4 linked regions of the Caenorhabditis elegans genome follow. The protein of the gene in region 2 purifies or fractionates together with the protein of the main gene of each other region. This does not show direct contact. Each region holds a gene or a part of one and is shown on either strand. Other genes may lie near its edges.

What was found.
Region 1: the proteins of rpt-3 (region 2) and rpn-1 fractionate together in Caenorhabditis elegans (co-fractionation; one large-scale study listed by BioGRID). This does not show direct contact.
Region 3: the proteins of rpt-3 (region 2) and pbs-1 fractionate together in Caenorhabditis elegans (co-fractionation; one large-scale study listed by BioGRID). This does not show direct contact.
Region 4: the proteins of rpt-3 (region 2) and fasn-1 fractionate together in Caenorhabditis elegans (co-fractionation; one large-scale study listed by BioGRID). This does not show direct contact.

Annotation. Positions count from the first base shown.
Region 1 is NC_003282.8:6,904,526-6,911,597, reverse strand, and holds rpn-1 (26S proteasome non-ATPase regulatory subunit 2), read left to right. Parts: upstream 1-1,684; 5' UTR 1,685-1,693; coding exon 1,694-1,792; intron 1,793-1,853; coding exon 1,854-2,578; intron 2,579-2,625; coding exon 2,626-3,565; intron 3,566-3,640; coding exon 3,641-4,480; intron 4,481-4,526; coding exon 4,527-4,637; intron 4,638-4,682; coding exon 4,683-4,824; intron 4,825-4,873; coding exon 4,874-4,962; 3' UTR 4,963-5,178; downstream 5,179-7,072. Other genes in the region: ribo-1 (Dolichyl-diphosphooligosaccharide--protein glycosyltransferase subunit 1), read right to left, coding at 1-687, 751-915; T22D1.17 (Col_cuticle_N domain-containing protein), read right to left, coding at 5,219-5,338, 5,428-5,601; T22D1.5 (EF-hand domain-containing protein), read right to left, coding at 6,199-6,356, 6,409-6,908, 6,957-7,072.
Region 2 is NC_003281.10:6,487,765-6,492,793, reverse strand, and holds rpt-3 (putative 26S proteasome regulatory subunit 6B), read right to left. Parts: upstream 3,002-5,029; 5' UTR 2,996-3,001; coding exon 2,281-2,995; intron 2,232-2,280; coding exon 2,107-2,231; intron 2,021-2,106; coding exon 1,616-2,020; 3' UTR 1,512-1,615; downstream 1-1,511. Other genes in the region: srb-11 (Serpentine receptor class beta-11), read left to right, coding at 1-117, 207-425, 471-572, 893-1,186, 1,232-1,426; Chitin binding domain containing chtb-2, read right to left, coding at 3,919-4,050, 4,098-4,259, 4,306-4,446, 4,494-4,668, 4,835-5,029. UniProt on the Caenorhabditis elegans protein: The 26S proteasome is involved in the ATP-dependent degradation of ubiquitinated proteins. The regulatory (or ATPase) complex confers ATP dependency and substrate specificity to the 26S complex.
Region 3 is NC_003282.8:1,707,641-1,712,197, reverse strand, and holds pbs-1 (Proteasome subunit beta), read left to right. Parts: upstream 1-2,452; 5' UTR 2,453-2,455; coding exon 2,456-2,533; intron 2,534-2,578; coding exon 2,579-2,778; intron 2,779-2,843; coding exon 2,844-3,294; 3' UTR 3,295-3,395; downstream 3,396-4,557. Other genes in the region: rpi-2 (Protein XRP2), read right to left, coding at 498-609, 798-919; K08D12.3 (CCHC-type domain-containing protein), read right to left, coding at 1,277-1,632, 1,832-1,931; pugs-4 (C6 domain-containing protein), read right to left, coding at 3,664-3,783.
Region 4 is NC_003279.8:8,982,698-8,988,946, forward strand, and holds the start of fasn-1 (Fatty acid synthase), read right to left. Parts: upstream 3,844-6,249; 5' UTR 3,826-3,843; coding exon 3,757-3,825; intron 2,087-3,756; coding exon 2,004-2,086; intron 1,657-2,003; coding exon 1,421-1,656; intron 1,148-1,420; coding exon 897-1,147; intron 805-896; coding exon 573-804; intron 519-572; coding exon 11-518; intron 1-10.

The sequences.
Region 1 (7,072 bases), on a different chromosome or scaffold from region 2:
AGAAATGTTTCCGATCTCATCACGATAATAGATATCTTTAGCTTGAGCAGGAAGAACTGTGGTAAACTGTTGGAGTGCTGGTTGGCGACGTCCACGACGGTCCATTTGGTAATCGATTCTTGAGAATGGACCATCAAGCTCAGCTCCCTTGTGAACCAATTCAATGTACTCCTCCACAGCGATGTTTCCCCAGTGAGAAACCTCGATGAATCTTTCCACGATGGTGGCAATAACGAATGGCGAGTTATTTTCATAATGAACTTTGACTGGTTTCGTCTCAAAAGCTGGGATATTAACATATGGTCCGTAGATGACACGTTCCGTTTCTTGTTTCGATGGAGAAACTGTGGTTGCGGATAGAAGCTTGCCTCCTTGAGTGGTTCTAATAGTTGTTTTTTGGGTCACAGTTTCGTACAGGGAAGGAACGTATGCAGATGTGTGAAGAACAACAAATTGACTGTCAGATTGCTGAATCTTGGATGGGAGTGGCTCAAGTACTTGTGTGATACGAAGATTGATTCTTATGGTAACTTTGGCTCCCTTGGCAACAGGAGTTCGGAGGTCTACTTCGTAAACTGCAAGATCCTTTTCGGCTGGTTTTTCAGAAATTTTCAATTTTCCTTTGCTTCCATCGATTCCAGCAGAAATGAAAGAAAGAGTAGCAGATTCTTCTTTAGACAAAGCAATCTGAAAAATAAAGTTGAAATATAGGAAATATAGTGAATTTTCAGGAAAAATATATCTACATACCAAAACTTTCGATTGAGGTCCATTTCCAACGTTCTCAAATGAATACAATGTCGAAACCTTGACAATTTGTGACGTGGCATCGATGGTTCGGTCAACATTAGCGGCTTTCCAAGCGTCTTCAGCGAAAACCGCCCCCAGGAGAGCGATGGCAAATAGCAATCGCATCTGGAAAAATTAGATATACAATCAAAAATGCAGAAAACCCAAAAATGTCATATTAAAACGTTTCAAGAATGAAATTCGACTGATCGAGCAAGACGACATCTATTTGGAATTTAATTAATCAGCTCGTGTTAAAAAATTATCTATTATTACAATCTCAGCACAGAGTAACTTTATTTTGTCACAAAATCATTTAGCAGCAAAAATTCGCATGTACAGACTAGAAAAATGATATTTTTGTTTGGTGAAATCAGCAAAATTCATTATAAGAGCAAATTTCAAGTGTATTATATTGATTTGATGCATAAATTCTGCGAAAATCTATCTTTAAATTACAATAATTTCAGCAAAAAAAAGAGAAAGACGTGGTAAACTCGTCCACGTATTTTGAATCGGAGCCATTCGTGGCGAGACCCACCAGCCGGCATGATGACTGCGCCTTTAAACAAAGTCTGTTCAAATTATCATTTTTTCCGCGAACCGGCGCGGATTTTCAGATTTTCTAATCCAATTGTCATCGTTTTGTTGTTTTTTTATTCTTTTATTCGGATTAGATGTATTTCACTCTTAGTTTCTATTCCTTTTTTCCAAACTCTGACTCTCAAAATAGTTATTTTTCGATGTTTTCATAAAGTTGAAAAATATTCACGTTTTCGAGGGAATTAGTATTTGAATACGCTGTTATAGTTTCTTCGTGACTTAACTGTTTTGTTAATTCTATAAAATTCATTTCGAAATCTCAGCTTCTCTTTCGAATACATATATTTTGAAGGATCGAAAAATGGTGGCGACTACTCAACAGACACCAAAAGAGGCGGACAAAAAGAAAGCCGACGATAAAAAAGTTCCCGAGAAAGCTGAGCCAAAAAAAGAAGAGATGGTTAGTTTAAAGAATAACTATTGTTTAAGCCGTAATGAGACTTATAGCTTATTTATTTCAGAGCGAAGAGGATCAAAAACTCGAGGAGGATCTCAATCTTCTTGTTCAGCGTTTATCTGAACCGGACACAACACTTTACAAGCCATCACTGGAGACTATGCGGACATTGATTCGTGCTTCAACCACATCGATGACCTCTGTTCCAAAACCTCTCAAGTTTATGCGTCCGCATTACAATAAAATGAAGGAGATTTTCACATCGATCGTGGCGCCTGACGTTAAGAAACTTTGCGCAGATATCATTTCAGTGCTCGCAATGACATCAGATGAGCGAACCGACACGATCAACTATCGTATTCTTGGATCACACGAGCCGATCGGGGATTGGGGACATGAATACGTTCGTCATTTGGCGATGGAAATGTCAGAGGAGTGGAAGAAGGAAGGCACTTCGGATGCGAGAAAAGCTGAACTCCTTAAGTTGACTCAGGATATTGTCAGCCATCACATGAAACACAACGCAGAAGTTGAAGCGTGCGATTTGCTCATCGAAATTGAGCGTATTGATTTGCTGATCTCTTATGTCCAAGAAGTTGATCACCAACGTGTGTGCCTTTATCTTCTTTCATGTGCCCCATTGACTCCAGACCCGGATAACATTATTCTTATTCGCACTGCTCTCCAACTCTATTTGAAATTCAACCGGTATCTTGAAGCTGTTAGATGTGCTATCATGGTCAACGATATTCCACAGGTTCATCAAATATTTGCGAAGGCATCTGACCCGTAAGTTAAATATAACGTCTCTTACTTTCCTAAAGAAAAGTTTTCAGATTGCTTCGAAAGCAAATGGCTATCTTGCTCGGTCGCCATCAGATTTTCCTTGACTACGAGGGATCTGCAGATTCGGATGCTCTTGCCGAACTGAATTCCAATGCTCATCTCTATGAATACTTCCACTCCTTGGCTCGTGAGCTCGACATTATGGAGCCTAAAACTCCAGAAGGAATTTACAAATCTCATTTGGAACATTCCCGGCCATTCGGAAACTCTGCTCAGCCAGACTCTACTCGCATGAATCTCGCCGCTGCGTTGGTGAATGGATTCGTGAACTGTGGATTCGGAGTTGATAAAATGATGGCTGAAACAGAGGAAGCCTCCAGATGGTTCTACAAGAACAAGGAATATGGAATGCTTACTGCAGCCGCCTCACAGGGTCTTATCTGGAGATGGGATATCGATACCGGCCTGGCACAATGCGACAGATTCTTGTATATCAATGACGATTATATCAAGGCTGGAACCCTTTTGGCTATTGGTATTATTTCCTCTGGAATTCAAGATGCTTGTGACCCTGCTTCCGCACTTCTCCTTGATCATGTTCAATCTGATCGGTCAATTATGAGAGTAGGATCAATTCTTGGACTTGGACTTGCCTACGCTAATTCCAAAAGAGAAACCGTTACAAAGAATGAGGAACGCGGTGTTATTTTCGAGCTCAAGAAAGTTCTTTCTGATCAAAAGCCATCGGCTATTCCTGAAGTTAAAGGACTTGCTGGACTTTCTCTTGGCCTCATTCTTGTTGGAACTGCTGATGCGGAAGCTGCGATGGAGATGCTTCAAGCTCTAATGGATAAAAGCGAAACTGAGCTCACAGATCCAAATATGCGTTTCCTTGCATTGGGAATTGCATTGATCTTCTTGCAAACTCAGGACAAGAGTGATGTGTTTGTCGAAAGTCTCCGTTCACTTCCTGATCCATTTGGAGCGATGGTAAGTATTATTTGTTCTAGATCACCTCGAGTTTTGGCTATTCCCTTGTTCATATCATAATGAATACAATTTCAGGTTTCTACGCTCGTTGAAGTTTGTGCATACGCAGGAACTGGAAATGTTTTGAAAATCCAGAAATTGCTCCATCTCTGCTCTGAACACTACGAGACGCCAGCAGCTGAGAAGAAAACTGCCGCTTCTCGTGGACCGCGTGGACCAGCCCCAGCTGCTGCTACACCTGCTCGTCCTGCTGCGCAACCTGGAAATGTCAACGTCGCTGGCACTCCAGCCCCAACTGGAACACCCGCCGTTGCCCCAGCTGCTCCGAGACGCGACCTTCCAGGAGCCGCAAGTGCTGCTACACCAGGAGCTCCAGAGACTGCTGCCGCCGACGCTACTCCAGCACCACCTGCCAAGCCAGACTTGTCATCGCAACAGGCGGTTGCTGTACTCGGAATTGGTCTGATTGCTATGGGAGATGACATCGGATCTCAGATGGCTCTTCGCATGTTCGGACATCTCATCAGATATGGAGAACCAGTTATCCGTCGTGCTGTTCCCTTGGCGTTGTCACTTCTCTCCGTCTCAAATCCTCAATTGAACATTTTGGAAACTCTGTCCAAGTTCTCTCACGATTCTGACGCTGATACCGCTCACAATGCTATTTTCGCGATGGGACTTGTTGGAGCAGGAACAAACAATGCTCGTCTTGTTGCTATGCTCCGAAACCTGGCTTCTTATCACTACAAGGATCAAGTTTCTCTAATGCTGGTCAGAATTGCACAAGGACTTACTCATCTCGGAAAAGGAACAATGACGTTGAACCCATGGCATTCTGATAGGCAATTATTGTCTCCAAGTGCTTTGGCTTCTCTCCTTTCAATTTGCTTCTCTTTCCTCGACGCCAATAACACGGTTAGTGCAAGATTGATATTTCTACCATAATTTATTTCAAATTTAGATTCTCAACAACCGTCAGCATTACTTGCTCTACACGTTGGTGCTCGCAATGCAACCAAGAATGCTTACCACACTGGTAGAAGACGAAATGAAGCCTGGAAGCTTGAAACAGGTATAATTTTTTTAAAAGTTTCAACTCTCCAATGTGATTTTACAGTTGAACGTTTCTGTTCGTGTTGGTCAAGCCGTTGACGTTGTTGCTCAAGCCGGAAAGCCAAAGACAATCACTGGATTCCAAACTCATACTACGCCAGTCTTGCTTGCCCATGGTGAACGTGCCGAGTTGGCGAACGATGAATGTATGCCATCCTAACATTTGATAATTAATTTTTAACTAAAATATTTCAGATCTCTCTGTGACTCCACATCTTGAAGGATTGGTTATTTTGAAGAAGAATCCAGATTATCAGCCGGTTGTTGTATCAACTAAGAAGTAACCAACAAATTTATGGATCTAATTTATTTTTCTCCCCCTTTTCTCCCATCTAAATTATCCGTTTTGACCCGTTTTATTGTGCACAATCCGATTGCATTCGCTCTCTGCCCGATTTCCCGTTTTTCTGTCAATTTTCCCTCTCCCTCATCATTTTTTCTTTGAAAAAAACGTGTACACTTTAAATTTGAGTGGGACGGTATTCGAGTAAATTATTACTTTCAATCTTATCATCCTGGGTTTTATATATGTATTAATATTTATTGATCACAGGAATTTGAAGATCTTCTAGGTATCCTTATCAAAGTATCGAATATATCAGAAAATCCGTCAAGGTGGCGATTGTTCGACATTAGATTTTCAGCATCGTTCGCATACATCTGGAAATAAAATTTAGAATGTTCAAATGTGAGTTTGGAAATTTTAGTTTTTCAGTTTTTAGAAAAGTTTAATGAATTATTACACTCACCTCAAAAGTAGCCTTTTTATCCATAAAAACATCTTTCATTTCATCAATTTCATTAATAATATCACTTGTCAAATATATAACAACAAGTGTCATAATTGCCATAAAACATAAAATTCCAATAGCAGCAAAATCAGCGATGAAACGAAATTTGTATAAAAATTCGGATGTATTCATAGTTTCGAAAAAACTATAAAGTTTCAAAATTTGATGTATTAAATGGAAAAGTAATAGAAAGAAGAAGCAAATGACCAATACAATTAGACAAAGAATTGAAAACTACAGAAAACAGGTGATAAAAGATAAGAAAAAGTGAAGAGATTTAGAGATATTTGTAGAGACTAACCAGTTTGACGAACTATAGAAGTGAATTGTGTAAACTTTTAGACTTTTTGTGATTCAAAAAAAAACAGTTTGAACATTTGAAATCACAGTATTATTTAAAGGTGCAGTGTTTAGCAAAAAATTATCGTAACGAGACCCGGTCACCATATTTCCGGCACAAAAATCTAACAAATAATGTTATAAGCCCATTTCATAGTTTTTAACATTTCCCACCAATCTAATCGTTTTGAAAACCCATTAATTTTTTTCAAAAATATTCTTGCAGGTTCAGTAAAACGAGATGAGCAGGAACAATCTTATTGTTTACATGAATCCGCCTGACATTTTACAAGAATACTGAAATTTGTGAAAATTGCACATAAGATATGGGACCAGGCGATTAAATACAATAGGGAATGATTATCTGACATGATTAAACTTTAGGATTACTTAAACAGGATTTATTGGTTCGTTATTGATGTTGAACGACCCTGATGATGACGTGCTGGATTGAGCATAGTAATCGTCAAATTTGTGGTCGATCAAACGTTGCCAACGAGTCCGAACCATCCCAAATTCCTCATCATCTTGGCGTTCGGTGTTCGTTTCTGAAAGCAGTGTTATTAACATAAACAACCATTTTATCTTATTAAAACATACTCTCACAAATTTCCTGCTCAAGAAAGCGAAGAGCGCAGACAAAGCCATTGATCACTCTGAAGGCAAGTTGCGAGTTCTTTTTGAATGATTGCAGATTCCATTTGTCTGTGCCAAGGATGTCCCGAAATTGAGCGATAGCGTTTTCGAACGGCAGGGATTGCACATTGTTATTGACAAGAAACTTTGTGATGGCATCGTAGAACATCCGCAGGTCGTCCAATTGAAGGATTCCTGTAGATTGCACATCAAGGACGCGGAACCAATACTCGATCGATTGATTCTCGTCAGTCCCAATCATCGCAAATATGAGCCACGTCACTTCTTTCGTATCGAGATAGTTTCCCGTTGAACGACGCACTAGGTTACTCGAGAAGATTCGGTCGACGATTATTGTTGGAATACCGGTTTCGTAGCAGTAAATGGCGATGGCATTCGAATCAAATATCTCATCCCATTTGCCAATATGATTGAGCTCGACTGCGCAGAGTTGTCCGGTGTGCCTACAATTTTAATAATTAAATGACTAATCTGAGATTATAGCCGATTACTTCATGTACCAATCCTCGCATGCATAACGCACGTAGTCATTTAGAAGATCTTTAGTCTTAACTTGAATCGTTCCCGTCCACGTTCGCCCAGCAGTCCAGAGTATACGCTCAGTGAC
Region 2 (5,029 bases):
ATCTATTTTCTTTTGTTCAAGCTCTCAAAATCAAGTTTTCATGGAAATTTGAAAACAATATTTATCAGCTATTTTGTGTCACTTGTAGCATTTTCTATGACACATCTCACCACTTCAGTAAGTTTAAAATACACGTACCTAAAAATACCGTAATCTGATCTAATGACACATATTTAAGATATCAGAGTTCAATAAATAATTTCCAGACTACCCAAATTATAAAATCAATAATATCAACGGACAATTGTGATTTAATAATATCCCCATTTCCTCATAAAATTTGGAATTTTTTCATTTTGTTTTTCCTAACACTTTCTACCTTTTTCCCGTGCTCCGTTACAATTGAACGGTATTTTGCGATGGAAACGGCAGAAAAATATGAAAAGGCGTCGGTAGTTATGGGGCCAATTCTTGTTGGATTCAATGTAATTTCAAGTTTTTTTAGGTAAATTATTTATATGATTTTTCAGGTTCTATTGAACTTTTGTATTATCTTTAACATGTTAAAAGATGAAAGTTACACTGATGGAAATGTATCGTTTTCTGTTATTCCAGCAGTCGCTGCTCAGAAAGTAGGATGAGTTTTACAGTTTATTTTACCTATAAATTCAGATTTCTCTTTTATTATGTACATGCTCCTTTAATGATACAAAAACAGTAACTTAAAGGTGCATACAAAATAAGTTAAAAGAATGCATATCGCGATCTCGAGCGATATCGAGATCGCGGCAGGACCCATCCATATTATTGACCTGCCCTTGAAAATGGAAATTAGATATTTCTAAATTCGATTTACAATCGATATCGATTGTCAATCAAGAAACCTTTATGAAGTTATATGATCAAATTGAAAAAAATTAAAATAAAATTCACGATGAATCTTTTTTTTCAGGCGTTTACCTTTTTTATAATTATATTTTTCGTCAATCTCGTAGATGTTATATTTGATTTAATATTACTTCGAATGAATCTTAAATTGAAATTACAATTGAAAAATTCTTCACTTGCTGTAAAATATCAACTGGAAGAAGTCTATCAATCCACTAAATTTTCCGTATTTCTTATTTTAATTCATATTATTTCATTCGGGATTTATGTATCTGCTGTGGTATTTTTTCGATATTTCGGAAATCTGATAATTTCAGACCCCGACTCTTTATTCGGAGTCAGAACTTTTTCGACAACAGTGATGAATGAAAATTAAGAAAACACGATGAATAAAAAATTTCAGATAGTTCCTACATATAATTTCGTTATTGGAAGCTTCTCAAGTTTTTTTAACCGAATAAAATTGAAGAAGTCTGAGGGAGCAACTATTCAAATGTCTTCAACTGGAAAATCTGGAGCTAACAATTACGATCAAGCCATTTTTAGTATTTGGAACTCAGTTTCTGGACCAATCGACAGGAATGTTACATTAGTTTGAACTTATACCTACTATTATACTTACACCTACTGTTAATCTTGATTTTTTCACCAGAATGAATGTATGAAGATTTTGAACGTTCGGTGAAGAGCAAATTGTTTATGCGAGACACGGTGTAAATACAATAAATTATAGTAAAAATATGGTTCACAGGACGAACTGGAGGGTCATCGGAGAGTAACTCGTGGTTTACTTGTAGAACTCGAAATCGTTGGTATCCTTCTTCACAACATTCTTGTAGGCCTTCTCAAGATCCTTGGTAAGCACAACGTAACGATTCTCACGAACGGCTTGCATACCAGCTTCTTGACAGATAGAGTTGATATCAGCTCCTGAAATCTTGTCTGGACGAGCAACCCAGTCTTCCAAATCAACATCATCCGACAGGTTCATACGAGAGCAGACGGTTGAGAATACGAGACGCTTTTGACGACGATCTGGCAATGGGAACTCAATCTTACGATCGAGACGACCTGGACGAAGAAGTGCAGGATCGAGAGTATCCTGTCGATTAGTGGCCATGATAACTTTCACATTAGTGCTTTGATCAAAACCGTCCATTTGATTGAGCAATTCGAGAAGAATACGTTGAACCTGGAAAAATACCACTTGTTTAACAAAACTTTTTTCTAGGGACCTAAAATTCGGAGAAAAAACTATCAATCTCGAAGTAATCTTACCTCACGATCTGCTCCGGTTTGAGCATCGAAACGTTTCGTAGCAATCGCGTCAATTTCATCGATAAAAATAATAGATGGGCTGTTTTCCTTTGCCAGACGGAAGACGTCACGCACCATTCGTGGTCCTAAAAGACTAAAAGTTACAATAATGGTGTTTTAAAACTTGATAATTACCTTCTCCAAGATATTTCTGTACAAACTCAGATCCAACAACGCGAATGAAGGAAGCAGCAGTATTTGCAGCAACAGCCTTCGCCAACATAGTCTTTCCACATCCTGGTGGTCCATACATGAGAACTCCTCTTGGGGGGTCAATTCCGATTTGTTGATAAAGTTCTCCATGAGTCAATGGAAGTTCGACAGCTTCTCTGACTTCTTGCTTCTGCATATCAAGACCTCCAATATCTCCATAAGAGATGTCAGGTTTCTCATCAGGACGAAGCATTTGAATGGAGCTGTCAGCCTCTGGTGGAAGAACATCAACAAGTGCGTTTGAATATTTATGAAGGGCCACCGAACATCCTGGCTTAAGCAGCTCACGATCCAAAATCGATAGAACACGGACATAATAGTTGGATCCGGTGGTGCTTCCAACGATAGCATGGTTTTGGTCCACAGCTTCCAGGAATTGTCCAATGACAAGTGGCACAGATTGAATACGCTTCACTTCTTCCTGAGCATGAAGCAATTCTTTTTCAAGGTTTCTTGTCTCCAGCTTGATATAGTCCTCCATAACTTGAAGATGCGCCAGTTGACGTTCCAGCGTTGTAAGCTTGATATAGTCGTCTGATGATACATCAACGCAGGTGGCTGGAAGTGGTGGCGGACGGAGAGAAGTATTCTCCTGTAATGGAGCAATACCGATTTCCTCCAAAGCAGCGGCAGACATGTTCCTAGAAATGAAAATTTAACGTTGTTGCAAAAAAATAGTTTCAGAAAATGTAACCACGGAACAGAATTATTTTCATGAAAAAGAAACGTCAAACTGCTATTTCGAAATATTTTTGTTTTAATTAATCAGCTTTACGAATCTGAACAGTACAAAAGCGTTTTTCATCCGAATAGTCATGAAAAAAACAGAAACGAAAATATGTCGTGCGTTTGTACTAATACATCGAACTACAATGTTTCGTTACCTCCTACGATGTGGTTTCAACTTACTTTTATTTCTTCTATTTGGGTGCATGCTAATATTTTTGAAGTATAACGCAATTGCGCGCAAGATATATGAAGACAAAATAAATTTACCCTATTACGAAGCTCAGAAAACAAACAGCTCAACTTTTAAACAACGCACATTTTCCATTTAAACTTTGAAATACTTTAGACACGTAACCAATAAGTACCGAAAACTTTAATACTAAACAAAACACTTAAATTTGTCACTTTATTATTGATTAAACGAATGGAGATCATATTATCACAAGTGGGGAACAGAAAGACTTTCGAAAACTAGGTAGAATGTGGAAAAATGAAAAAGGAAAGCAAATTTTGAGAAAAAAGAAAATGGCGGTGAAAAACATTTAAAAAAATATTTTGAGAAATCATCATCCGCAAATGTGCGTGACGGTGTTTGCAGTATTTGCGTACCCGACACCCAATTTGACGACAAAAAGAAATAAAGATTTTTAGCGAACAGAAATTCACAAAAATAAAAACTGCGAGCGACAAATACTTAATTGTTCTAAATAATTCACTAATTTTTAATTGTCATTGTATTAATTTTCTGAAAATTCACCATGAGGCTCGCAGTTTTCATTTTTACAAATTAAAATAATACAATTCTGCAAATAAATTATTTTAAAATTATAATTAATTTTTTTTCGTAATATTATCGCTATTTGATGACTTTAGCCGATCAATTGTTTCTTTTCGTAGCTTCTCATCGTTTTTTTGATCAGCCAATAAACGATCCAAGAACTGTTCAGTTTGGTTCAGAGCGATCTGAAATTGGAGAAATAAGAATCTCAATTTTTTAATAAAATATTTACCTTTTTAAGCACAGGCTTGACTACACTTCCAAGTGATTGAGCTCCAGAGTTTTCATCGTGCATTTTAAAATTGAGTGATGGCAACATTCGACTTAAAAAATCTGGCTGAACACGTGGAAATAGTGGATGTATGTGGGAAAGATCAATTTCGGATTTTATGCTCTGAAAAATAAAGTTGTAAATACAGAATCTGTTAAATGTTCAGTACATTAGTTGATAGTGAGTTCTGGCTTTGAGAAATTTGATAGGAAACTGGAACATTCGAATTTGGAGCAATTGTTGGAGTTGGAGCAATTGGTCGAACAACTTGATGATTATGTCCTCCACTAACCACACTTCCATGAATGTGCTACAAGATGAGAATTTAAAAAATATTTTTGAAGTTAAATTATGTACATTTTGGTATTGTTGAGCATAGGTTTTTTCAGCTGTCGCTAATTCTGGAATCTTTGGAAGCAAATCCTTTGGGAACTGATCAATAGTACTGTAGATTTGAGGTTGGTGAGTTTCCGGGACAGGCGGATAAACTCGTGGCGGGGATATATGAGTTGGGAGTTGATGGTCAATCACTCTGAAAATCCAAAAAGTCATGGCAATCGATTTGAAGTTGGAAAAACAGTTTTCGAAAAAAATGCTTTGAAAAATTTGCTATCTGTTGTTTCTCGGATCAATTTGATGAGCTGCTACGAGTTTTCCAATTATTTATAAAATTTAAATAACTTCTATCAAAAACTAACCTATTACCCTTCCACTCAACAAATGAAGTCTCCGAAGGTAGTCTTGGAATCACGACTCGATTGTCTGGATCATATGGTTTACGAGTTTCTTCTCCCTTTTCACATCTTCCAATTGATACAATAAATATCAAAGTATCTGGACAATATCTTTCAGTCCATCTTCCCAACCTACCGTACAATGGAGCACATTGAAGA
Region 3 (4,557 bases), on a different chromosome or scaffold from region 2:
CTTTAAAGAGTACTGTATTTTAAAAATTTTGTTGCTGCGGAATTTTTATCGATTTTCCATAATCTATTAAAAATTTAGAGTTTTTTTTTAATATTTTAGTTTTTAAAAAGTAAATAAACATATTTTTATATGATAGAAAAACGATGAAAAATTAATAAGAACCCCGGAATAACAAAAGTTTGAAATTACAGTATGTATGCAGTACTCTTTAAAGGCACACACGTTTTTGTGTTTTAAAAAAATTGCCGTGTCGAGAACGGGTACCGTATTTTCACATCAAAAATCGGAAAATTTAGTATACGGGAGATTGATAAAATCTTATTGAAAATTAAATGTTTTAAAAAATGCGGAAGGGAATTTCAAATTCCGCTCTTTTCTTTAACGATATTTTTATTTTTCGGAAATTGCTGAGACTCCTTTTCCACTTTAAATTATTGTATCAGTTTATAAAAGAAATTATCGGGTCTCGCCACGATACGTGCGCCTTTAAACCGTACCGTGCAATTCTCCATTTGAAGTGGTCCACCATCTTTCGACTCCTTTTTCAGAGTCGTGTTATGGATATTCGCAATTGTAAAGTCTTCGGCATTAACTTTTTCTCGACGATCCCTTAAAAATTAATTTTTCGGGTCCCGCAGCGATGCGCCTTTAATCTTTTTTTGAATTCCAGACCTAAATATCTAAAGAAACGAAACCTAGAAACCTCAGAGAGGCGCTATCAAAATGATTGCAACAGGTCTTGCAGCGAAATCGAATTTTTTTAAAAAATTCACTGCGAGACCACAAATTCCACTTACCACGAATACTTTGGAGGTTCACCTCCCTCTTCCGGTTTCGGCACCGCATCCTCGCTGACCTTGTAGCGATCCTCACGTTTAGACCGGCGCCCAAAAAGCTTTTTCGAAAAACAACAGCTCATTGTTCGAGGCTCCCGCAGAATATGCGAAAGTGAGTGAATGAGCAGCGCGAGTTGCTCGGCGAGAGCGCGCGTTGCTATGGAAACCCATGTGAGAGCATCACGTCGCCTTCACTTCCGATGCGAAAGAGGAGGAGCGCAAGACGACGACTTTAATCAACAATTTATTACCACTTTCGTTCAAGAGGTTCAGAGGTTGGGATGGGGGATAATAGCTGCAACCAGCATTCACATATAATATTTGAGATGCGGGGAAGAGGATTATTGGAAAAAGGAGTGAACGAAAGTTTCAGTTGAATACATTATTTCGAGTTACAGAACAATGAAAAGACAACGAAAATGGGGGGAATGATGATTGATTTAGTTGGTCTGGCTTGGGCAGTCGCGGGAGATGTGTCCGGTCTCCTGGCACTGGTAGCAACGCTTCTCCTCGGCCGAGCCACTCTCGGTGCACTCGCGGGAAATGTGCCCGGAGCGTCCGCAATTGTAGCACTTTTGTCCGCCGAAGCTTCTGCCTTCTCCACCGCGGCCTCCGTAGCCACCGCTTCCTCCCTCAGATCTGGCGGATGGGCAGTCACGAGAGTAGTGTCCACGTCCTCCGCAGTTGTAGCACGATCCACCGCCGCCGCCACCTCCACGTTGTCCTCCTCCGGATCCTCCCTTGGGGCAATCGCGAGAGAAGTGTCCAGTCTCTTGGCAGTTGTAGCAGGTGGATCCTGAAATAACATGAAATTAGTCTCGAGATTTCCGCTGTAAATTTATCATCAAATAACTCCTAATCTCCGCCAGCTTAAACACATTTCTCTTCGCCTCCACTTCTCCAGAACTTCAAAAATTATTGCAATTCGGTAAGAAATCAAGAGATAATGTATTTACCTAAATCAACTCAACACCCCAAATTCAACACCACTCCACCTCCTCCACCTCCTCTACGTCCACCATCGGACTCGCCATTCGGGCAGTTGCGGGAGATATGTCCCGGCTGTTGGCACTTGTAGCAATTTCTGTCCGACATTACTGCAAATAATTGATTTTAGAAAAAAGAAATTATCAGTTGCGAGGAATTACAAAAAAATAAACGGTTGAATGTCACAATTTCAATCAAAAATGGCGAAAATTCAGAGAAACAAAAATCCAAGACAGTGAGGGCGAGAAATCATGGATATTCAGTGACTAACATGACAAAAACTAATAAATACATGGAAAACTAGTTATAAAAACCAGTTTTAACGGGAAAAAAGTCGGCGAAATCAGAAAAAATCAAAGAAAATGTGGCCAGAACGTGTCGATCGTCCCAAAATCGAATGTTGGCCGCGTGCCAGGAAAGTTAGATGTGCAGGCAGTCCGGTGGAGCGCCAATTCAAACGTCATTTTTGCTGCATTGAGATTTGATGACAATGTTTTTTCTGCTCGGGTTTCTCGTTTTTAATGATTTTATTCTGAAAAATAACTACTAAATTTGTTTTTATACATTATTATTGATTTCTTAACGTTAAAATAACTTTTAAAAAATGAATTTAAGTCGATATTTTGCAGATAATGGATACTATGCGAGATGAGAAGCGCAAAGCCATTCCGGCAATCGGGTTCTATCCACAGGAAGAAATCAGCACTGGAGTGAGATTTTTAAATTGAAATTTCCACTAAAAGCTCAATTTTCAGACCACTCTCATCGCTATGGAGTACAACGGTGGAGTTGTCGTCGGAACCGACTCGAGAACCAGCGCCGGCTCGTTCATCACCTCCCGTGCCACCAACAAAATCACCCCGATCACCGATAATATGGTTGTGTGCCGTTCTGGATCTGCAGCGGACACTCAAGCGATCGCCGATATTGCCAAGTACCATATTGATGTTTATACGTAAGGAATTTTCAGTTGTTTTAAAATTAAATAAAATAATTTTTTTAAATAATCACTTTTTTCAGCATGACAGAGAACAAGCCAGTGACAATCTACCGCTCGAGCCAGATTTTCCGCCAATTCCTCTACAACTACCGCGAGCAGCTCTCCGCCTCAGTGCTCGTCGCCGGCTGGGATGAGGAGCTCGGCGGCCAGGTCTACGCAATCCCAATCGGAGGATTCGTGTCCCGCCAGCGATCGACAGCTTCCGGCTCCGGTTCCACATTCGTGCAGGGCTTCCTCGACAGTCAATGGAGACCAAACTTGACGCTCGAGGAGTGCAAGGCGATCGTGAAGCAAGCCGTCGGACTCGCCACCTTCCGTGACGGATCCTCCGGCGGAGTTGTCCGTCTCGCCGTGATCAACAAAGCCGGCTCACAGTTCGAGCTGTTCCGTCCCGACAAACCAGGATTCCCATTCGTGCAGACACCAACTCCACATCTCTCTTTCCCACCGCACATCGAACAAGTCCTCTAAAATCGTTTCGTTTTTCGATCTTCTATTGTATTTTCCCCTGTGCGACTATACTGCTAAGTTATTTGATTTCCCTCAATATTTATGAAAATTCACACTTGTCATCATTTTCGTTTCAATGCTGCTGCTGCTACCGCTGCTATGTCAAAAGTGCAGTAATTGGTTAGCCAAGCTACGCAATTGACCGGTATTCTCCTCCGGGAAACTGGTCACGTGGAACGTCAAGCGATTTATTAGAGTTAATTTAACAGAAAGAGTTCATAAATTGCGAAAATATACACGTGGCAGGTTATGGAAAGACGAAAATATTGCAATGGGCGAGTATCTCTAGGGAGGAGAATATTCAAAAAAAAAATTGGGGGAAATTAGAAATTAAAATCTGCAATCGACGAACTGCAAAATTCTGCCAAGGATCGTCCACGTGTACTGGGAGCCGCCAACGTTTGTGCAAGTGGCGAGCAGAGACGGAGCCGCTGAGATTGAAGCTCTTTGCTGAAAAATTAAGAAAAATAAAAATAATTGTTCCTTGTGGTTTCTTAGTTTTCACAGCTGAAAAGATACGGAAAGTCTGCGGATTTTCAGCGAAAATTGTAATTTTTTCTAAAATTCTAAAAAAATCCCCGAAATTTCGAAAATCAGAGGAAATTTAAGAAAAAAAAAATCGATTTTGGAGCCAAAAATGCGTTACCCGGTCTTGACACGATTATTTTCCGTTAAATACAAACGGGTGTGCGCCTTTAAAGGGTACTGTAGTTTCAAATTTTTGTTTCTGCGCGATTTTCATCGATTTTTCATAGTTTTTCGTACTTTTTACTTTACATTTGTAATTTTTTAAAAATGAAATACTATTTTGAATCGAAAAATAACAAAAAATCGTTGAAAATTCCGCTGCACCAAAAGTATGAATCTACAGTACTCTTTAAAGGCGCACACCTTTTTGCATTTAAGGAACATGTGTCGCGTCGAGACCAAATTACCAAGAAATTCGATTAAAAATCCGATTTTTCGCTGATAATTTGAAAAATTTTCTGGATTTTTTAAAGCAGAAAATTGCATTAAAATTTTTGGTTAAATTTCTCAATCTTTTCTATGAAATAAAAAAAATGCACAAAATTCAAGAACATTAAATTTTTATCTGAATTTCGCAAGTCTTCCCGGAATTTGGGCCTGGAAAAATTATATTTTCAGGACAAAAAAACTAAATAATTCATATTCTTGACCACTATACGAATTATTTTTTGCTCTTTTTGTCTTCCGAAACTCCAA
Region 4 (6,249 bases), on a different chromosome or scaffold from region 2:
TTTAACTTACGTGACAAGTTTGGTGAATGGATGTGGGGTGATTGGTGGAGCTATATGATCAGCAGCCTTCAAGATGACGTGAGTGTTAGATCCTCCGAATCCGAAAGAGTTGATTCCAATAAGTCCTCCTGGAAGTGCAGTTGGCTCCGTGACAACCTTCAAGCGCCCGTCGGTAAGTCCCGGAATGTACTGATTTGGAGTATTGTAATGCAAATTTGGTGGAATCAATTGACGTTCAATGGAGAGAAGAATCTTGGTCAAAGAGCAAACTCCAGATGCTGGCTCAGCATGTCCCATGTTAGATTTGACTGAACCGATTAAAAGAGAATCAGTACGCTTGGAGCAGAAAACTTCACAGATTGCGTTGGCTTCCTGTGGATCTCCGACCTTAGTTCCAGTTCCGTGAGCCTCAACGTAGTAGACTGAGTTTGGATCGATTCCAGCCTCAGAATAAACTTCTTGAAGCAATTGAGCTTGTCTTTCTCCTGATGGGAAAGTGATTCCATGCTCCTTGTGCCCTAAAATTTAAATGTTTGAGAAAAACTCATGTTTTAATTCTGGAAAAAACTCACCATCAGTGTTAGACTTGGCGTGAACAACAGTTGCATAGAGTCTTTGAGCCTTCTTCTTGCGTTGAATGAAGATGGCTGCAACTCCTTCAGTACGACAATATCCATCACCAGATTCGTCGAATGAACGGCAGCTTCCCTTATCTGTGAGCATGCCCAATCTCAAGAATTGGAGAGCTGCAGTTGGAGTCAATGTGAGATGAGCTCCTGCGACAATAGCGGCGTCGCATTGACCCTGAATAATTAAATATTAGAATAATTTTTCATCTCAGATTGAAAGTAGAAATCATCATAAATTGAACTTGCATAAAAAACAAAGCAACGAACCTGTCTAATAGAGTCGACGGCAAGTTGAAGTGCCAAAAGTGAAGATGAGCAAGCGGTGTCCACCGAGAAAGATGGTCCTTGCAAATCGAATGTGTAAGAAATACGGTTAGAGAACATAGAACGCACACAACCCGTCAACGTGTAGCCCGTTACAGTATCTGGGTCTTGTGTGAGCATTCCAGAGGTTTCTGAAGCTGAACATCCAACAAAAACTCCTGTTTTGGATCCACGGAGGTCAGTGGGATTTATGCCTGAAATTTGAGTATTATTATTTAATTATTCCTTTTTTGTTTTTTAATTGAATAAGCACTGTTCTTTTCCCAATTTCTTTATTTGACTTGTTCAATATTCCAAAATCATAAAAGTGGAACATCCTACTTGCACGGGGTCAGTAGTGCGCGCGCATGACGGTCTCAAGGTTACCACCACAGCCCGGTACATCGGGGCACACTTTTTCCGATTTCCGTCTCCTTTTCCGAGGGAGGGATATAGATAGAGAATACGAGAGAGAAAAATGGACATACCCGCATCAACCATTGCCTCCCATGAAGCTTCAAGAAGTAGTCGAACTTGTGGATCCATGAAATTTGCCTGTTTTGGAGTAACTTGAAAAAAGCCCGCGTCGAATTTGTTCAACACTTTCAGTTTTCCATGTCTTTTTGGCAGATCGCAAAATCCTGGTGTCCATCTGAGAGAGTCTTCCGTTACCAGGTCTTCACCAGCAAGAAGCATGTCTCCGAACATTTTGACGTTATCGCATCTGAAAAAATTGGAACGTTTGACATATTTCAGTAAAATCGTGAACGGTTTCCGCAAAAACTTAAAAATAAGATTATTTAAAATTATTTGTAAAATTCTTAAAAAAAGTATATTTTACTTTGAAAGCTTAAATATCGGATTATTTTAAACATATCAACGGATGATCATTTTTACAGTTTTGTATAGGTCAAATTAAAATCAAATATTAGCAGTAAAAGTTGATGAGGTGCAGTTCTAATAGAGGAAACGGTAAATGTGATATTGTCAGTACTTTCAGATGGGTTTATTACATTACCCAATTACCGTTCTCATCCGTCATCAAAATTTTAGGTTTCAAAATAGATGTACCTTGGAAATCGGCCCGAGACTCCTGAGATTACGATATCGTCCTGCTTCTGCCACCATTGTGTTGGATCCATGTTGTCCGAAGACTGAAATTTTCAAAATTAGTTACAATTTTAAACCGTTTGAATACAAATCTAAGAATCGAAATGTGATAACAACCATCAAAGTGGTTCTATGAAACTTATTGATTTTAAAATCTCGAAATAGAACCAGACGGACAAAACACAAACACATACGCTCACTTGTGAATGAGGCATGTACTCAGAAATGACAAAAGAAGAGGTGAAGGGAAGATGGAAGAAAAGAAGAAGAATAAGATGACAACCGGACAACTAAGAAAACTAGGAAAACGAAGAAGATGCGGATACGGGCGCTCTGCTGCGCGGTAGAGATGGTAAAAGATAAAAAGAGAGGGACACGGGAACCGTCGAGACATTCGACGATCCGTTTAGGTTCTACGACGACAAATTTTCTAATTTTAGGGTAACAAGAGGTGAAAATTGAATTCCTTGGTTACGGTATCTTCCCACTCACTGAGGGATGTTTTGAGATATTTCAGAGTAATTATCACATTAAAAATCACGTCATACGAGTTTTATTCAAAAAGTGCAGTACTTACTCTAATCTATTTTAATTCAGTGTTTTTCTCAAGTTTCAAGATGTGTTCTGACACTAAAACAAAAGAAGTTGTTTGATTTATGACTGTAAGAGGAATGTATCTTTGTAGCCACGTGAAAAGTTAGAACTAACAATTAATTTTTAGTCAACTTTGAAAGCATTTATCTTGGCTCATTTTACTGGTGTCAAAAAATAATTAACTACAAAACTGTAGAAAATTAAATAACTAATAGTTTGTCAGTTGGTAATTTTTCGATAAAACAAAAGACAAGCTTTCAAAGTCAAGCAATGGTACAAGAAAAAATAATAAAGTACTCGCTGAAAGACCTTCTAGCATTTTCTCCATCAGACACTCATTGTGATTTATACTTGAAAAAAAGAAATGTTTTAGATTGCCAAGTGTGATAATTTGAATAACAAGTGGCGTGATTCATCTGAATTCGCTCACTCCATATTTATACCGATTCAACTATTTCATAACATGATGACTTAGATCACATGAATGAGCTAATCAAGACAATGAAAGTGATGACATTAATACCGGATCCATTCGTGCTTCTTCTTGTCCCGTGAGATAGAATCGGGTAATATCTAAACGACGAGACCGAGGCATTTCCAACATTCCATGTTAATCTACAAAGAAGAGAGAAAAGAGAAATAATAGGAACTCAAAGAAAGGTCGAGATGAGGAGAAGAGATTATCGATAGGAGAGGTCCTTTTTGCAGATGTGATGTCCCTGAGTTGTCCGTCGTCTTGTCAGTTACTGTGTGATCTAATCTCGGGGGCCGATACTGTATCTGATTGCTGTCGATCATCGTCCCTTCACCCGACACGACCCGACAAAAGTATGACGGAAAAAAGTCGCGGAGAAGTAAAGGAGGGAGATGTTTTAGGAAAGATAAACGATTGGGGATACAAGAAAAAAGAAGAAAAAGACGGAGAAAATGAGGAGAACAAAGTTTTCGGAATGGCCGCATTCTTTCGATCTGTTGCGTCTTTTAAGCCATTCCGTCTGCTCTCAGAACAGTGGGCGGAGAGGAGCAAGAAAAAAGTGACTGTACAAAATGAGATTGAATTCTTGAAGAGAGGTATAGAGAAATACAATAGAGGCGACTATAAATAAATATGTGAATTCACCTGAGAATTGTCCGAAATTCGCTCCCAAGTTCCACTCGAATCGGACGATCCTTCTCCAGTATTATCCATCGTTCGATAGCTGAAAAAAGGTTTATTTAGAGAGTTTTCAACAATTGACGAACAAATTAATAAGATTAATTGAAATAATTAATTATTGTTAAAAGTGCTAGAAAATAGTTATATCTATGTTTGCCTCTACCGTACTCATAGATAACATCTAAAACTGAACAAATCACAAAATTTCTTTCGATAAACCTGAAACTGTTGACATCATAGAGGTCAGCTACGTTCAGAACCGGTTTTTTCAACCATGTGTGATTGAGGTATGTTCGACCAAATATGAGTAACTTATTAAAGACGGGGTTTGAAAAGTAGTGAAGTATTCATTCTTATTTAGTCAAGTGATGAAAACCTTGAGTTTTTCGCTCAGCTGTATTTTGTTTCACCAGCAGAATTAATTCTAGATAATTTAGTTGAATTTAACGATTATCAATGCACTAGAAGCAGAATTTAGCTAAAAAAGAATCACAAAGTTGGGAAAAAAGAAGAAGAAGAAGTGTGTACATCTTCGTCGTTCTTTAACCATTCTTGGACATGGACTACACAAGAAGTAACAAGTGAAAGATGAATGGACGGGATGGGGGCGGTGAATCGTTGGTGGTTTTCGACAATGTCCTATCCGAGAGAATAGTCATAAAAGAGACAGAGATTCGACCTTGGGACATGATCGCATCGATGTAAACGGTGACCAAGCCCCGGGAGAGGAGGTCAGAACCTACTTATTATCCCCTCGTTGCCCCCTTATTCCGGCGATGTGGAATGTTTGTGTTCCCACCGCAACGAAAAGTTGCATTTGTGGTCAAACACGCCGTTTGCAGTTTTTGCAGTTCACGTGATTCTCTAATGAATCTTGAGAAAACGAAAAGAGAATCGCCAATTATTTTAAAGAATCGTCGGGACATAAAGGTGTTAAGTCAATCCCTTTTAAACAGATTGGAGATGACCCCATTTCTACGAAACAAGAAGATTTTGCAGCTAAAAGTTTAGAAGCACTTGATTGGTTTTTTTGGGGGAGAGAATCTGGTTTCGATGGAAAGGCAAATATAGTGCATCTGATCTTACTGATTTTGCACGATTATGATCAAAAATTGGCAGATTCTGAACTAAAACCATTTGATCTTTGTTTGCAAGAACTGCACTTTAGATATAATATTCTACATTTTATTTTGCTAAATACCTGGGACGAACGAGGTTACAGTTTTTGTGGCCGGTATTGTCATTGTGTGGGTTTTGGCTCATTAATTTTGATTTATCGATTTCAAAAATAGCTCAAATTTTGCATAATTCCAAGTGAAACGCCTATTGATGAAATCGTACCGCCACTTCGAAAAAAAAAAGAGAACTTTTGGAATATGTGTGTTTAATTAAATAATGTAATTTAAAGCCGACTCTGCTACTGGCATAATCTCTTAATAAATAATAAATAATGTTGCTAGACTGAAAGTTTGGAATTTTGTTGGTTTTTCACTGAACATCTATCCCTTCAAAGTGGCTTATCGCTGCTTTCCGTTCAAAACTACTCACAAAAATAATTAAAATGATTAAAAATAACGTATTAAAGTTTTTCAAAAAATTTGAAATGTTTTTATTTACAGTCAAACATTGGCAATATTTCAGGTTTCACATACTTGGAAATTAGCCAAAAACTATATTCAGGTTTTTTTAATTTAAAAGTTTCATGCGGGTTTACTCTACATATATTTCTTCAAAATCCTAACTGTTTCAAACAATATGGCATTGCCAGAACTTTGACTAACTTTTTTCGAAAATCCAAAATACTTAAAAAATTTAATTGGTTGTGCTATACTATTGTGGCTGCATTAGAACAAAATTCCCACAAACGCTACTCAATCTTCAAGAATTTTCAGAATTTCAATTATCTAGACGGAATGAAAAAGTGGCAAGCGGCGGCAAATTTCACAGCATCATAAAAATTTTTTTTATGATTGCGTGGGATGTTTGGCCAAGCAAAAGAAATTGTACAGAAAAAAATTGAAGAAAAATGGAAAAGAGGAAGATGGAAAATGCTACTTTTTACATTAAATTCAAAATCAAAACCTCCTCCCAATAACGTAATTGCCGCCACATTCTGGTTCTTCTATCATCAATTTGAAAATGTTTGAATAGGACCACACTTTAGAGACCGTTAACAATTAGAAAAACAACAAAATAATACTACAGTACTATATAATTTTGATGAAGAAAATAAACGTTTTTGAAACTAATTTTTGACTACTTTTTTGTTCCCATGCCTGTTAACATCAAGTGTTTTGAAAATGTTTGACAAACTATATGCTACGTCACAGACCAAGGGTGGTCTGATTGTGATCTATTCATCTAGAACAACCATCAGTGCAAACTACTTCGCCAACAAATATGATAACAATTCGTGACGTTGACAAACGGATGTTTGACGTAATTTTTCTTTGAATC